2 linked regions of the Stegostoma tigrinum genome follow. The protein of the gene in region 1 interacts with the protein of each later gene in a pairwise test. Links are inferred from orthologs where the notes say so. Each region holds a gene or a part of one and is shown in the gene's direction. Other genes may lie near its edges.

Region 1 (8,687 bases):
AAAGGTGTTGGATGTATTTATGGTAGCATGGTGGTTCAGCATTATTGCCTCACAACTCCAGGAACTTGGGTTTGATTCCACCCTTGGAAAACTGTTTGTGTGGAGTTTGCACATTCTCCCTATATGTGGGTGGGTTTCCTCCAGATGGTCTGGTTTCCTCCCACAGTCCAAAGACGTGTAGGTTAGATGGATTTGTCCATGCTAAATTGCTCATAGTATCCAGGTTTGTGCAGGCTAGGTGGATTAGCCATGGGAAATGCAGGGTTACAGGGATAGAATAGTAGGGGATTGTCTGGGCAGCTCGCTCTTCGGAGACTTGGTATGGTCTCAATGGGCTGATAGGGATTCTATGATTCTAAGTCTATTTCACAATATAAACTAAAACTAAAGATTAATCAGCCATCTCTATTTAGTGTAAAAGATCCTATGATGCTTTTTCTTAAAAATACAACACAGGAGTTCTTCCTCCTATCCTGGCTAATCTTCAGCCCTCATTTCATTTTGCTGTTTCATTTTGATGTATGCAAGTTGCTTAATTTATTTTTTTATTCCTATCTGAACTTGCACTTTAAGAACACTTTTAGCACCCATAAAGTAATTACATACTGTTGAGTTGTAACTGCTTAGCAACATGGGAACAATCGTTTTAAAATTAAAATGTAAGGCAACTGGCATTTATAATATAAACACACAACTTTACCGGATGATGAGGATATTGGTGTTGAAAGTTCCATAGAGAAATCTGAACACCTAGTGAGTTACTGGAAGAACTACACCAAACGATTTAATGTTTTAAAACAATACAGACTTTACTGTATATATAAAAACAAAGCAAGCATCTTAACACCATAGTTTGTCAAGACTTTTAATCATCAGTTCTTATCCAGTCCCCCTTTTACTGCTTTAATTTCACAATTTTGAGGGTTCATTCACCTCTTCATCTGGAAACAAACCAAGAAAGGCAAAGCTCTCTGGAATTCTCTTTGTCTTCTGCTTAGTGTGCCAGCTAATCTCCAACTTATGAGATGCAATGAGGACCCTTGAGTTTGCTTGTGGTTTGGTGATTGTCCAACATTTCTACAAAAAACCATAACTGGTAACTTCTGAGCTCAACCTTGAACCTCATAGCTTTTGTATTTATCAATTTAAAAATCAGAACATCCTAGTTCCATTTGCCTTTCTGCTCCTGTTGTTTTTTTTGGACAGACAGAAGCTGGTTTAATTAAAACAGAAAGCGTTGGCGTAACTTAGCAGTTCTGATAAACTCTTTCTCTCTGCATAAAAGTCATAGAAGTTCACTATGACTTTTTCAGGTTAACCTGTTCTGTTTCTCCAGCACTTTGATTTCATTTCAAATCTCCAGCATCCCCAGTATTTGCTCTAATACAGGTTGCTTTCACCCTGTCTTTTCTCAGTTTCTGCACAACTCTTGGTCCAACAGCTGCTTTACAGTTCTTGACAAGCTGCCTTTCTCTGCCTGATGCCAAGCTAAATTGCTTTTGCCAAGTTAGTTTCCTGTAAATTTTATCTTCTAACTCCAAGGTAGGCAGATCTTCCAATCTCTTTTCCCCTCCCAACTCTTTCTTCAACTGAGCATGAGCTCCCACTGTATCCTCACAATAAAATTAGTATTGTCATAGAGGTGCACAGCACAGAAACAGATCCTTCGGTCCAACACTTCCATGCTGACCAAATATCCTAAATTAATTTTGGCTCATTTGCTAGCTTTTGGCCCATATCCCTCTAAACCCTTCCTATTCATATACCCATTCAGATGTCTTTTAGATGTTGTAATTGTACCAGTCTTCACCACTTCTTCTGGCAGTTCATTCCACACACGCACCACACTCTGAGTGAAAAAGTTGCCCTCTAGGTCCCTTTTAACTCTTTCCCCTCTCACATTAAACACCTGCCCTCTAGTTTTGGACCCTCTAGCCTGAGGAACAGACCTTAACGATTCACCCTATCCCGTGCACATCATGATTTTATAAATCTCTATAAGGTCACCCCTCAGCCTATGATGCTCCAGCACCAGCCTAATCAGTCTCTCCCTATTGCTCAAACCCTCCAGCCTTGGCAACATCCTTATAAATCTTTTGTGAACCCTTTCAAGTTTAACAACATCTTTCATAAAGCAAGGGAATCTGAATTGAACATAGTAGTCCAAAAGTGGCATAACCAATGTCCTGCACAGCCACAACATGACCTCCCAACTCCTACACTCAATGCACTGACCAATAAAGACGAGTGTATGAAATACCTTCTTCACTACCCTGCCTACATGGGAATCCAATTTCAGGAAGAATAAACCTGCACTCCAAGGTCCCTTTGTTGGACAACTCTCCCAGGACATTTGCGTTAAATGTGTAAGTCATGGTCTGATTTGCCCTAACAAAAAGTAACACCTCACATTTATCCAGATTAAACTCCATCTGCCACTCTTCAGCCCATCAGCCCATTTGATCAATGTCCCATTGTACTCTGAAGTAACCTTCTTTGCTGTCCACTTCACCACCAATTTTTGTCATCTGCAAATTTTCTAACCATACCCCTACATTCACATCCAAATATCTTTGCTTCAGGTGCAGGCCTAGCTTACATCAATTTATTTTGTTCCTTCAACTCTGAGTGAGTTGAAACCTTCATAAAACCAAAGCTGCAACTTCCTCTACCTATTCGTAAATTGAACACTTTTGCAAAGCAAAATATCAGTCTTAAGACATTATAACATTAGAATTGTCATGACATTAGGAAAGGGGCAACCAATCTCCTAATTGAAATGAATGGGCGGAGATGATTGGGAAGAGATTTTGTTACAACATTGGTGTGTGTAAAATTGTAAAATGGGGAAAAGTATTGCATTGTCCCTTTAAAAGATTACGTTTTTTACAGTACTTAAGAGTTAAAATGGATGTCTGAACTAGGAAATTACACAGAAAACATCTATGACAGCAAGATCTGCAGAAGAAAGATGTTTGTGAGTTGAAATCAAGAGGAAATGCTGGAGAAGGCAGAGTGTTCCGGAAGACACACAAATCCACCCTTCACTCCATTCTCAATAGCGTGTCATTTCATCTTATCACTTTAACCCAGATATTAGGTACAGTTTTGTGGGCTCTGAAAGCTGTATGAAGACAAAGTTCAGATCACTATTAACAATGGATAACATGGCACAGTGGTAGAGTGGTTCGCACTACTGCCTCACAGCACCAGGGTTCAATTCCACCCTCGGGTGACTGTGTGGAGTTTGCATGTTCTCCCTGTGTCTGTGTGGGTTTCCTCTGGGTGCTCCAGTTTCCTCCCACAGTCCAAAGATGTGCAGGCTAGGTGGATCGGCCATGCTAAATTGTCCATAGTGTTCAGCGATGTATAGCTTAGGTGGGTTATAGGGGGATGGGTCTGAGTGGGATGCTCCAAGTGTCAGTGTGGACTTGTTGGGCTGAAGGGCTTGTTTCCATGCTGTTGGAATTCTATGAAGATGCAGTCTGTGTGAACTTGGAGAGATTAAGTTTTAATTTACTGTTTTATTAATTGGGTTTATATAAGTGGGACTTGTGTTTATTTGAAGTGTTTCAGTAGAATTTTGTTCAATTAGTGAAATGTTAGAAGTTGGGGGTGGAGCAACTGTTCAGTATGTTATTGTTAGAGTTAAATAAATAAATTGTTATTTGTTATTTATAAAGTGACTATCAGGAATTTTCTTTCACTTAACCTCCCCGGGTCCGTAACAGTTTAACAGATTAGGAGAGGTGAGGCGAGTTTCTCTGGGTGTTTTGGGTTTAATCATTAGAAAGGGACTGCGACTCCTGCTGTAACAGATTGGAGGCTTGTTTTTCAATTTTAGTTATCAGAAAGGTTCAACCTCCCCTTCCTAACAATTTTCAGTAAATAGGACCCTCGCTGCTGTTTTTGAGAAGTTGAGGGGGAGAGATTCACAGAGGTTAGAGTCAGAGGATCAAAGTCTGAGCATAGTTTTATGAGGTACAGCATTTCCAATTGATTGGAAGAGTGAGGCCATGGAAGATTTTAATACAAGGATTATAATTTTTAAATTTCAAACCTTAAAGACAGGAAGCCAATGAGATCAAAGAATGGTAAGGATTTGGAACAAGCAAGGCTTTGCACGTTTGGAAAACCGTAAACAGTTACAATTTTACATAGATTGGAAGATATGAGATCATTCTGGAATGTCAAATCTGGAGGTGACAATGCAAGGCATTGTAAAGGGTTTCAGCAGCAGCTGGTCTTAGAACAAGTGTGGAGGGGGACGCAGATGTGGTAAGCTTTCTACAAGCAATGGAAAGGATCTAAGGTCTGATATTTAGCCATGGTCAATCATGACACTGAGGCTGTGAATATTCCAGTTCAACCTAAATCATAAATAATAAGGTGTGGAGCTGGGTGAACACAGCAGGACAGGCGGCATCAGATGAGCAGGAATGCTGATGTTTCAGCTCTGGACCCTTCTTGAGAAACCGGTAGCATTGCAAACATCAAGGACAGTCTACCGACACCAATGCCACTCCATCCACCGCTGACGCCGCTCTGCCCACCGCCCCTACAGCTAGCAAGTCTATAGTCAAAAGCAGCCCCAGCCCTGCTGGGTTTTCACCATCCCCCTGGACCTCCCCCTCACTGAAGATGAACGGTCATTCCTCAGCAAAGGACTCACCTCTATCCCCCTCCATCCAAACATCAATGAATATTGCTCATGCCTGGAAGTTGAACAGTGTTTCCACCACCTCTGTGCTTATTTCTTTAATCGTGAGTCTATCCCCCCCTCTACGGACCCCTTCTCCCACCTCCAACACACCCCATCCTCCTAGACACCACCCCAAGGCCTCCTACCCTCCCTCGACCTCTTCAGCTCTAACTGCCATTTCCAAAGAAGGGTCGAGACCCAAAACAAGATAACAAAGTGTGAAGCTGGATGAACACAGCAGGTCAAGCAGCATAAAAGCTGACGTTTCGGGCCTAGACTCTTCATCAGAACCGAAATGTCAGCTTTCCTGCTCCTCTGATGCTGCCTGGCCTGCTGTGTTCATCCAGCTCCACACATTGTTATCTGATATTCTCCAGCGTCGGCAGTTCCTATTCTTTCTCAACCTGAATCATGGCTAGGGTGAAGGTTAGAATCAATTGCACAGAAGCAGAATCTGTGGTAGGGATTCAGAATACTTTGGGTTTCCCAATGCTCAGTTTGAGTAATCCAAGTTTAAGCCAATGCTATATTTCACGGCATAAAGTCTGTCAGCACAATGATAGGAAAAAAGGGATCAAAAATGGATAATTAAGGTGGCTATCATGGGAACTTAAGACCTCACGCTTTTCAAATATCTGGACCAAATCCCTCAGGAACTGCTGTCAATCAAATCGACGACACGCCCAGTGACGATATCACGCTGACGTACACGAGCTGGGTCACGTAGATTGGCGGCGTTCACGCATGCGTGTTGTCGGACTCTCCCGGTGTTTGACGGTATTCGTGTGACCAGGGACCGGATCATGGCAAGTTCGGGGAGGAAGCGCATCCTGAAGGAGGAAGATATCTCCAAGGTGGAGTTTGAGACAAGCGAGGAGGTGGATGTCACCCCTACCTTCGACACGATGGGCTTGCGGGAGGACTTACTGCGGGGTATCTACGCGTACGGTGAGTGCGGCCTAGACTGGCAGGAAGCCTCGCGGCGGCGCGATGCTGAGGTGATTGAAACCAGGGCTTCAGACCTTGGCCTTGATGGAGTGGACCCTGTTCACGCTCCTGGAGCCAGAGTGTTTCTGTTAGAGGCCCAGGATGCCCGCAAATCCATCTCCTTCTTCCACTAATCAGTTGCGTGCATTAAGTGGACAGCGCCCTCAACGGTAAGGATTTGGAACAAGCAAGGCTTTGCACGTTTGGAAAACCGTAAACAGTTACAATTTTACATAGATTGGAGGATATGAGATCGTTCTGGAATGTCAAATCTGGAGGTGACAATGCAAGGCATTTTAAAGGGTTTCAGCAGCAGATGGTCTTAGGACAAGTGTGGAGGGGGGCGCAGATGTGGTAAGCTTTTGCTAAGAAATTAAGGTCCATGACATTTTGCTGGCTGTAAATAAAGTAATTACCATAATCCCAATGGACTGTAGGGCTAAGAAAAAAGGTGTAGAGCTGGACTGTAGGGCTGCTGTGTCATTAGAAATGCCTGTGGTGTTTTAACATGAGAGTAACCACCCAGTCAGACAAGAGGCACAGGTGAGAAGGTGGGACCTTCGTAGTAACCTCAGCTGGGACAAGAATTGAACGTTGGCTGTAAGCATCACCTTTACATCACAAAAGAGTCATCTAGCCAGCAACCATGAAGTAATTAAATACTGTTGAAGTGTAACTACCTTTGCAGTGTAGGAAACAGTTTTAAAATTGGAAGGTGTTAAGCTTCTTGAGTGATGTTGGGGCTGCACTCATCCAGGCAACTGAGGGGGTATTCCATCACACTCGTGACTTGTGTGTTTGCAGATGGTGGACAGTCTTTGAGGAGCCAGGTGGTGAGTTACTCGCCACAGTATTCCCACTTCTGGCCTGCTCTTCTAGCCACCGTGTTTATGTGGTGAGTCCAGTTGAGTTTCTGGTCAGTGATAACCTCCAAGATGTTGATAGTGGGGGATTCAGTGTTGGTAACACCGTTGAATGTCAAGGGCTGGTGGTTAGATTGTCTCTTGTTGGTGATAGTCATGGTCTGGCATTTGTGTGGCATGAATGTCACTTACCACTTGTCAGCCCAAACCTGGATGTTGTCCAGATCTTGTTGCATTTGAACACGGATTGCTTCAGTATCTGAGGCATCATGAGTGGTGCTGATCATTGTGCAATCATCGGTGAACATCCCCACTTCTGACCTTATGATGGAAGGAAGGTCATTGATGAAGCAGCTGAAGATGGTTGGACTGAGGACACTATCCTGAGGAACTCCTACACAGATGTCCTGGGGCTGAGAATGATTGACCTTCAACGACCACAACCATATTCTATATTTCAGGTATGACTCCAACCACCAGAGAGTTTGCCCCCTGTTATCCATTGATTCCAGTTTTGCTCGGGCTCCCTGATGCCACATTCAGTCAAATGCGGTCTTGGTGTCAAGGGCTGTCACTTTCACCTCACCTCTGGAATTCAGCTCTTTTGACCGTGTTTGAACCAAGGCTGTAATGAGATCAGGACCTGAGTGGCCCTAGCGGAACCCAAACTGGGTGTTGCTGAGCAGGTGCTGCTTGATAACACTCTTAATGACACCTTCCATCGTTTTACTGGTGATTGAGAGTAGACTGATGGGGTGGTAATTGGCAGTGTTGGATTTGTCCCACCTTTTGTGTACAGGACGTACTTTGGCAGTTTTCCACACTGTTGGATTGTGACTGTACTGGAACAGCTTGTGACTGTTGTGACTGTACTAGAACAGCTCAGTTAAAGGAGAGGCAAGTTCTGAAGCACAAGTCAGTACTGTTGTCGGTATGTTGTCAAGGCCCATAGCCTTTGCAGTATCCAGTGCCTCCAACCGATTCTTGATATCTCATAGAGTGAATCGAATTGGCTGAAGACTAGTATCTGTAATGCTGGGGACGACCAGAGGAGGCTGAGCTGGATCATCCACTTGGCACTTCTGGCTGAAGATTGCTGCAAAAGCTTCAGCCTTATCTTTTGCACTGATATGCTGGGTTCTTCCATCATTGAGGATGGGGATATTTGTGGAGTGGCCCCCTCCAGAGAGTTGTTTAATTGTCCACCACCATTCACGACTGGATGTGGCAGGACTGTAGAGCTTAGATCTGATCTATTGCTTGTGGGATCACTTAGCTCTGAGTGTCACTTGCTGCTTTCTCTGTTCGGCGTGCAAGTAGTCCTGTTGGTGGCTTCACCAGATTGGCACCTCATCATCAGGTATGCCTGGTGCTGTTCGTGGCCTTCCCTCCTGCACTGTCCATTGAACCAGGGTTGAGTCACTGGCTTGATGGTAATGGTTGAGTTGGGGATATGCCGGGCCATGAGGTTACAGATTGTGCTGAATTGCAATTCTGGAATGAACTGCCAGAGGAAGTAGTAGAGGTGTGTACAGTTAGAATATTTAAGACATTTGGACAAGCACATTACTAGGAAAGTTTCAGAGTTATATGGGCCAAACTGAACTGGGATGGAAAGGTTACCTTAGGCGAAAAGGTTAAGGAGGTGGGTGTATATCATTTGGAGTTTGCAAGAATCAGATTTAATCTTAACGAGAGAAGTAAAATTATGAGGCCCTGACACAGATACTAAGAGGAGGTTTACCCCCACTGGGGTCTGTACAATGAGGAAGCAAAATTTCAAGGCAACAGGTATCTCATTTAGGGCAGAGATGAGGCAAAACTTTTCCTAATGAATGATAGGAAGGGACTCCATTGGCTAAGTGGCCAACTGCTGTTGAATCCAAGAGCTGCATGTTTCTGGTTTTCTCTGGCAGCAATGATATAAAGTCATTACGTTAAGGAGCTAAAGACTCAGCGACACTCCGTACGCAGAAGTGAACAAAAGATTAGGACATCCTGCATATATCATCTGGGGATCCTAGAACATTCCAGTAGCATAAAAATCAAGCGTTTGTGACCTTAGTTTCTGAAGGCAATGCAAGCCTGACCGTACGGAGACAAAGTCTTCCTGACATGAGGCCACGGGTCTCCAT
Region 2 (8,162 bases), on another chromosome or scaffold:
GGGGAACCTGATTGACGTCTACAAAATCATGAGGGCTATAGGCAGGGTGGATAGCAAAAAGCTTTTTCCCAGAGTGGGGGACTCAATTACTAGGGGTCATGAGTTCAAAGTGAGAGGAGGAAAGTTTAAGGGAGATATGCGTGGAAAGTTCTTTACACAGAGGGTGGTGGGCGCCTGGAACGCGTTGCCAGCGGAGGTGGTAGACGCAGACACGATAGTGTCTTTTAAGATATATTTGGACAGGTACATGGATGGGCAGGGAGGAAAGGGATACAGACCGTTAGAAAATAGATGACAGGTTAGACAGAGGATCTTGATCGGCGTAGGCTTGGAGGTCCAAAGGGCCTGTTCCTGTGCTGTAGGTTTCTTTGGTTCTGAGTTAATTATTTCCGTGACTATATGGGCTTGTTTACTTAGTTTGGATTCTTCTACTTATGGCACATTTAGTTCAAAGCAACACTGAGTGAACGCAAGATAACACAGTGTGGAGCTGGAGGAACATAGCAGGCCAGGCAGCATCAGAGGAGCAGGAAAGCAGATGTTCTTGGCCATGAAAGATGTGAGCAGTGCCTGCATACTTTTCTCTGATGCTGCCTGGCCTGCTGTGTTCCTCCAGCTCCACGCTGTGTTATCTCTGACTCCAGGATCAGCAGTTCTTTCTATCTCTGAGAAAACACTAGATGCTTTCAACTGCCTGCAGCAAGGCCAAGACCTGTCTGAGCATGAGGAATTATAATTCCCAAACAATGCTCAAGCGCAATTTGGAAAGTGGGTGATGAAAAAGCCAATGTGAAATGCTGAGTTAATTATGGAGAATTTGTGTTGCTAATAATCTAGTTGTTTAGATTCAACAGGATTCGAGCACAATATCTATTTGGGAAATGGCAGTGGACAATGAAGTAATTTGTGAACAATTGATAGGTATCCTATAGGTCAGCTCTTCAATTGAGGCTTCACAGTAGGCTGTTGCAATAAAAAAATTCAGATGAGATTTTAACCATTTTTAATTAATTTGCTGGAACATAAATCAGGCCTGGGTATTACAGTCAACTGGATATTTTTCTGTTTGAAGAGCAGGACATTAACTCTCTGGCATGGTTGCCCATTGGCAGATAAAATCTGGCTTTCAATGTCTGCTGAATACTCTTCAATGGTACCAGTGGACATTGACAGGAAATTAAAACAAGAAAGAAACAGCCTGCATTGGCATATTGCCTCTCAATGTAGCAACTGGATATCCCAAAGGCTGCACAATCAACACAGCAGTGCTCAACAGTAACATGCCTGAAAAAGGGATCCAAGAACGGAAATAAATTCACCCTTGGACATCAGCTCAAATAAATAAATAAATTGATAAATCAGCTCACTTGCCAGTACCAATGAATTATCCTGATGCCTATCAAGGGTTTGCAAGCCTGTAGTGAATGTACAGAGATAGGGCCAAGATAGGAACAAAGGAAAAGCAGGGATAACGTGGAAAAGTTAAGGCAGTTTGGGGAAAAGTATGAACCAGTAATGACCTGCAGTTGTTTCATGTAATCAGAAGAGGTATGCTGGATACCATAAAATATTGTGAGTTTTATTCTGACTGCCTCCTGTAATCCTGGTTAGGGATATTATTTGGGTGTGACCTATTGTCAAAGTTTTCAAGCACTGCTCATAGAACATAGGACATTACAGCACACATTGATTTAAGGTAAGAGTTTATAGCAGACAGAAGTAAAACTTCTTTAAGCAAATGGTGGTGGCAAGCTGGTTCACACATCTTTTGGTTGCGAGCAATGTAATAATTTGGATACAGCAAATAATAGTTGATGATTATCATAATCGGCCCTCGATGTTGTGCTGACCTGTCATACCCATTTGAAGCCCATAAGCCATATTCGTTAGCAAGTGAACACTCCAGCAGTGACAGAAACTGCTGGAGAAACTCAGCAGGTCTGGCAGCATCCTGAGAGAAAACCATGTTAATGTTTGGAGTCCTATGAGCTTTCTCCAGCAACTTCTGTTTTGTTTTGTTTCAGCTCAATGGGCTCAATGACTTCCTTCTGGATTGTGACAATTATGATTTTCTGATTTTTTTTGGACCAGGGTACAAACTCAAGTGGGACAGTACAGATTATCATCGTGCAACATTCACTGTTTTTCTCCAGGTACTGTCTGACTTCCTGAGCATTTGAAGCAGTCTGTGTGGTTTTTTTTAAAAATTCCAGCTTCTCTGGTCTTCCCACACCATTGAAGTCCTTCTATTTGCTGCCATTCTAGTAAGAATTGAAATCTTCTCTTCATTCTCTCAACTAGAATGGCATGTGGGAAATGTTTTTAATCATCCAGTTCAGGTTTGTTATGGCATACCTCTGGAGCAGGCAGAATTGGGACCCCAGGCTCATGGCTCAGAGCCAGGGACACTACCACTGCGCCACAACAAAAGGTATGTAAGACACTTGCCTTAATGAGTCAAGGCACTAAAAACAAGAGTGAGGAGATAATGATGGAGCTGTATGTAATGTTCGGCCACTGCTGGAGTACTGTGTGCAGGTCTGGTTGCTGCTCTATAGGAAGGATGTGATTGCACTGGACAGGGTGCAGAGGAGATTCACTAGGAGGTTCCCTGGGATGGAGAGATCCAGAGAGACTGGGACAGACAAGCAGCCGGTTTAGAGCAGGGAGGGCTGAGGGGAATCTGACTGAGGTGTACAAAGTTTTAAGGGGCACACACGGGACGGTAAGGAGAAATGTTTTCCCTTAGTCCAGGGATCAGAAACTGGGGGCACAGTTTTTAAGGAAAGGAGCAGGTGGTTTAGAGAAGATTTAAGTAGGAAAATATTTTCATCTACGGTGGTGGGAATCTGGAACTGACTGATGGTTGATGCAGAAACCCTCAAGATTTTTTTGCCCAAATGTACCTTATTCATTTTAAAAATCATCTGTAGGTACATACAAAGTTTTTAAATCAGCTGTGTACAGTCTTTACAGAGAAAAAGCAAAACATCAGAATTTTGACATTTCTCACAGCCTTCCTATAGTTACAAAATCAAAAGTATTTGCAAATCATGCAGAAAACTATTAGCATGTATTTTGAGGCAATGAGAGGGTGTAAAAACATTTTGAGATGAATAACACACACACAGACTAAAGGATTACAGGCCTGGTGCTGGAGAATGAGATGTCAACCACAGCAGACCCAGTCACTGTGACACCCTCCCTAAAACCAAGTGGAGTATTAACCGGCACCTCACTAAAGAATTCCGTTTGGTTTACTTCTCCTTTCCTGAGGAACCAGATGATCCAAATGATAATTACATCTCCCAATGTCTGACAGGCAAGGCATTGCACGCCTGACATCACATCTGAGAAGGGTGGCAGCATGAGTCCTCTGAGGATGTCCTATAAACCAGGAGCCAGCACTGAGTGCACCCAGCCATGGATCCTAGCTGGGAGACCAAGATAACAAGGTGTAGAGCTGGATGAACACAGCAGGTCAAGCAGCATCTTAGGAGCAGGAAAGCTGATGCTTCCGGCCAAGAACCTTCATCAGAAAAGGGGAAGGGAGAGAGGGTTCTGAAATAAATAGGGAGAGAGGGGGAGGCGGATCGAAGATGGATAGAGGAGAAGATAGGTGGAGAGGAGACAAAGAGGCGGGGATGGAGCCAGTAACGGTGAGTGTAGGTGGAGAGTTAGGGAGGGAATAGGAAACGTCAGCTTTTGTGCTCCTAAGATGCTGCTTGGCCTGCTGTGTTCATCCAGCTCTACACTTTGTTATCAGAGATAATGGGAACTGCAGATGCTGGAGATTCCAAGATAATAAAATGTGAGGCTGGATGAACACAGCAGGCCAAGCAGCATCTCAGGAGCACTTTGTTATCTCGGATTCACCAGCATCTGCAGCTCCCATTACCTTTCGCTGGGAGACCATCGGGCAGGACCTCCAAGGCAGGTGGCAGCACTGAGACTAGCCTCGGATTGAGGGGGAGCCGAACAGTACTTGGCGTTGATTGGTCGTTGGGCCGGCCGCCGTCGAATGGACCTGGCTGCCATTGGTCGGACCTGAGGCGAAGGTGGCGAATGAACAATGCTGTTGCTAGCCACGTGTCCCAAGGGGGGGGGGGAACAATTCGAAGCGACTGGAAGGGGGGTTGCGCTCCAGAGGAGTGCCCGAGCCCGGGGGTAGGATCGCCGCCGCCTGAGGATTCCCGGAGGTCGGAGAGAGGAACTGCCGCAGGATTCCAGTCACTGGGTCATTCTCCTCCCTCAGGGGCTCCGTTCAAATTAAACAACCGATTTGTTTTCCTTCAAGTGGGAGGCGCTGAGGGGGCGGGTGTGGGTTCAGGGGGAAAGATACAGGCCCCGGGGGAACCATCGTCCCTTAGACAACCCTTCACCCCCCACACAGGGTCAAAACAACCCCCACACCCCGTCAGACAATCCCTCCCCCCACAGGGTCAAAACAACCCCCACACCCCGTCAGACAATCCCTCCCCCCCCCACATAGGGTCAAAACAACCCCCACACCCCGTCAGACAATCCCTCCCCCCACAGGGTCAAAACAACCCCCACACCCCGTCAGACAATCCCTCCCCCCACAGGGTCAAAACAACCCCCACACCCCGTCAGACAATCCCTCCCCCCCCCCACATAGGGTCAAAACAACCCCCACACCCCGTCAGACAATCCCTCTCTTCCCCCCCACAGGATCAAAACAACCCCCACACCCCGTCAGACAATCCCTTCCCCCCCCCCCACAGGGTCAAAACACCTCTTCTCCCTCCCCCCCCCCCCGAGACAACCCCCTTCACCCACACAGGCACAAAGCAACCCATAAACCCCTTTCCCACAGGGACAAACCCCCCCCGTGAGAAAACTACTCCCCTCCCCTACAGGAACAAACCCCCCCTACCCGAGACAATTCCTTCCACATCCCCTCAACAGTCACCCACCCCACCCACTTCCTGAGTCAAAACCCCCACCCTGTGAGACAACTTGTCTGTTCCCCCATCGGGACAAAACCCTCCCCCAACAGGGACACCCCCCACCACCCCGAGACAATCCCTTCCCCCCCACCCCCATAGGGATAAAACTCCCTTCCCCCACAGGGACAAGAAACAGAGACAAAACCCTCCACCCCGAGGGGAACAGCCCCCATCACCGTATGAAGACCACCCCTCCCAGATACAGCGATCACCTTTCACTTCCTGAACCGAACCAAACCCACACACCTTCTCTCCCCCCCCCCCGAGAAATCGCTCCCTTCGCCCTCCCCGAGGCAGCTCTCCGCCCACTCTCCCATTGGAAATCAGTGCCTCCGCCCACACTCGGAGACAACACTCGCTGTCTCGCACTTCCTGAGACTCCAGTTCCCCCTCAGCACACCACCCTGTGAGCCCTCGCTGTCACTCCCTGTGAAAACACACACTCCACTCCCTGAGATCTAGGGCTCAGACCTTCCAGCAACATGGCAACAGAGGCAGAGAGCAAATTCAGAAACTCTGCAGCAGGTACTGAGACACAGGAGGTCTGGATGTTCATTGCAATGGCTTTTTGAACGCAGAGATTCTATTTAAAATGATTTTTTAATAACAAGTAGTATTGTGATCACGATGTGCAAGGCGAATATCTATTTTGGGACTGAAATTCTTAATTTTCGTGTGCTTTAACCCTCATTGCACCTCTTCGAATAAGTTTTTTGTTTTGTTTTCAAATGCCGCGTGTGTTGCCATATTTCTTCCAGAAGTACTTCCACTTTAAAAGTTCCAGGGAAGCATCTTGCATGGCCACGTGCTGTGATGGAGTGTTACTGTTCTTTAGTGTGTTTCCTAGTCAGTGTGTATTTGGTGGTTTTGAGAATTGAATTTCTTCAGTCACTGTTTTGTTTCGGAAGGTATTGATGTTCTTAACCCTTTAATCGCCGCGATGATGCACACGTTTACTTAAGTGTTAATCTAGGATTTTAAGATTTAACGAGTTGGTAATTTCTCTCATCACTCCTCCCCCCTTCCAAAACAAAACAAAAATTGGCCTTTTTTTTCAAGAATTAAAATGAACTTTGTGCACCACAGGGGATCTTGCATTATATATCAAAGTTGTTTGTGGCATTTGTGGGAGGAAAGCAACCTTGTATTGAAGAACTTTGCAGTTTAAAGTAAAAGTCTGCTGTATCTGTTATGTAATACAGGTTGCAGTAATTGCCGTGATGGCTGTTATGCTTTTGGTTGAAGGCGTTAGTTCTCCAGAATATTGTATTTTGTCTTTGAATAATATCACGCGACCTTTTTATCGTAAACTGGAGGAGGTAAATTGGTCTCCCCTCTAACCATACAGTGCTACTTCAATAATGCGTGGTAATATTGGCCCAATTCCTGAATGTAGACTGGAATTTGCAACTATCTGAACCAAGTTGTTTGTTGTAATTGAGATTCTTTTATGTTAATAACATTTTATTTTAATATATTGTGATAATGTTGTGATTGGGTGAAACAGATCGTATGATGTATTCATGACATGTATAGCTCTTGTTTCCCAGCAGGTGTAGCAACTCATGTCTGTCACTGCTGGACAAATAATAGGACTGATGGGTTGAGGGATTGATCTTCTAACCATTTTAAAATGAAGGACAGGCATGGCTCTTAAAGCTAATTTAGTTTTGTATTCTGTGACAGAGGGTCATGTCTCTTGTCAGTCTTTTGCACTTCATCATGTGCTCCCTGTCTGCTTGCCTGGCATCGAGCCCAGTTAAACACTGGAAATTTCAAGACTGTAATCTTCCATTTTCACTGCTTCCCAACTTCATGTATTTTAGTACCTCCACACCTGATTGTACCAATGCTTTGCACCAAGTTCCATTCATTTGTTTCATTTCCTAACATTTATATATTGTTCTGTAGTCCTAAGACCTCTGAAAAAATCTCACTGATTAACTCCCTGTGTGATGCTGTACCCATTACCTCTATTGTTTATTCTATCTTTACAGCCCTTCACTAACATTGTATTCTTCTTGAACGTGCCTTCATGGCTGAGCCTTTGGCTTTTTAGACCCTAAATTCTGGATTTTCCTTTCTAAGCCTTTTTTGTTTCTGCCTTCGCCATCTTCTCGTGCACTCCTTAAATCTTATCGGTTTGACCAAGCTTTTTGTTCCTCACCTAATATTGACTTTTCTCTTTTTATCCATTCATTGGAAGTGAACCTCACTGGCTATGCCAGCATCTGTTGCCCATCCCTGATTTCCCTTGGTGGTAGTGATGAGCTGCATTGTCAAGTCGCTGTAGTACATGATGTTCCGGTACACGCAGTGCTGTTAGAGAAGGAAATTCCAGGATTTTACCCGAATGAATGCTGATGAATTTCCAACTCTCAATGGCCTGAGGCTCAAAGGGGGACCTGCAGCTGATGATCAAAGGTGCTCCTATGTATTTTTTTGTCCTTGACCTCTATTACCTAGAAAGATGCAGATTTGGAAGGAGCTATCACAGGAACCTGGGTGAGTTGTTTCAGTGCGTCCTGTAGATGATCCACACTATTGCCACTGTGTTACAGGTAGTGGGAGTGAATCTTTGTGGTGGTTTTTGTTAATTGCTGTCTGAACCGGCTTCTGCACAACACCATATTTTGTCAAGAGATAAGAGTGTGGAGCTGGATGAACACAGCAGGCCAAGCAGCATCTTAGGAACACAAATGCTGATGTTTTGGGCCTAGACTCTTCTTCAGAAAAGGGGGAGAGAGAGAGGGGGAGGCAGATAAAAGATGGATAGAGGAGAAGATAGGTGGAGATGAGACAGAAGTTAGAGGCGGGGATGGAGTCAGTAGAGGTGAGTGTAGGTAGGGAGGGGATAAGTCAGTCTGGGGAGGATGGACAGGTCAAGGGGGCGGGATGAGGTTAGTAGGTAGTGTTAAGGTTATTTTGTCAAAGCTGTTTATACAAAAGCAGGCTGCCTCATTTAATGGGAATTTGAAATTTCTCCATAAGACCATTAAACACAGGAGTGGAAGTAAGGCCATTCGGCCCATTAAGTCCACTCCGCTATTTAAATCAGGGCTGGTGGGCATTTCAACTCCACTTCCCTGCACTCTCCCCGTAGCCCTTGATTCCTTGTGAGATCAAGAATTTGTCGATCTCTGCCTTGAAGGCACCTAACTTCCCGGCCTCCACTGCACTCCGTGGCAATGA

Evidence for each region. The genes of interacting proteins can lie anywhere in the genome.
Region 2: the proteins of eif4a3 (region 1) and pdcd4b interact in binary tests that used the Homo sapiens proteins (3 or more experiments, as listed by UniProt). The two-hybrid records come from large-scale screens. The link is inferred for Stegostoma tigrinum from reciprocal best matches to the Homo sapiens genes EIF4A3 and PDCD4.

Annotation. Positions count from the first base shown.
Region 1 is NC_081362.1:20,269,381-20,278,067, forward strand, and holds the start of eif4a3 (eukaryotic initiation factor 4A-III), read left to right. Parts: upstream 1-5,428; 5' UTR 5,429-5,505; coding exon 5,506-5,650; intron 5,651-8,687. UniProt on the Homo sapiens protein: ATP-dependent RNA helicase. Involved in pre-mRNA splicing as component of the spliceosome. Core component of the splicing-dependent multiprotein exon junction complex (EJC) deposited at splice junctions on mRNAs.
Region 2 is NC_081373.1:2,184,503-2,192,664, reverse strand, and holds the start of pdcd4b (programmed cell death protein 4b), read left to right. Parts: upstream 1-4,806; 5' UTR 4,807-5,452; coding exon 5,453-5,495; intron 5,496-8,162. UniProt on the Homo sapiens protein: Inhibits translation initiation and cap-dependent translation. May excert its function by hindering the interaction between EIF4A1 and EIF4G. Inhibits the helicase activity of EIF4A. Modulates the activation of JUN kinase.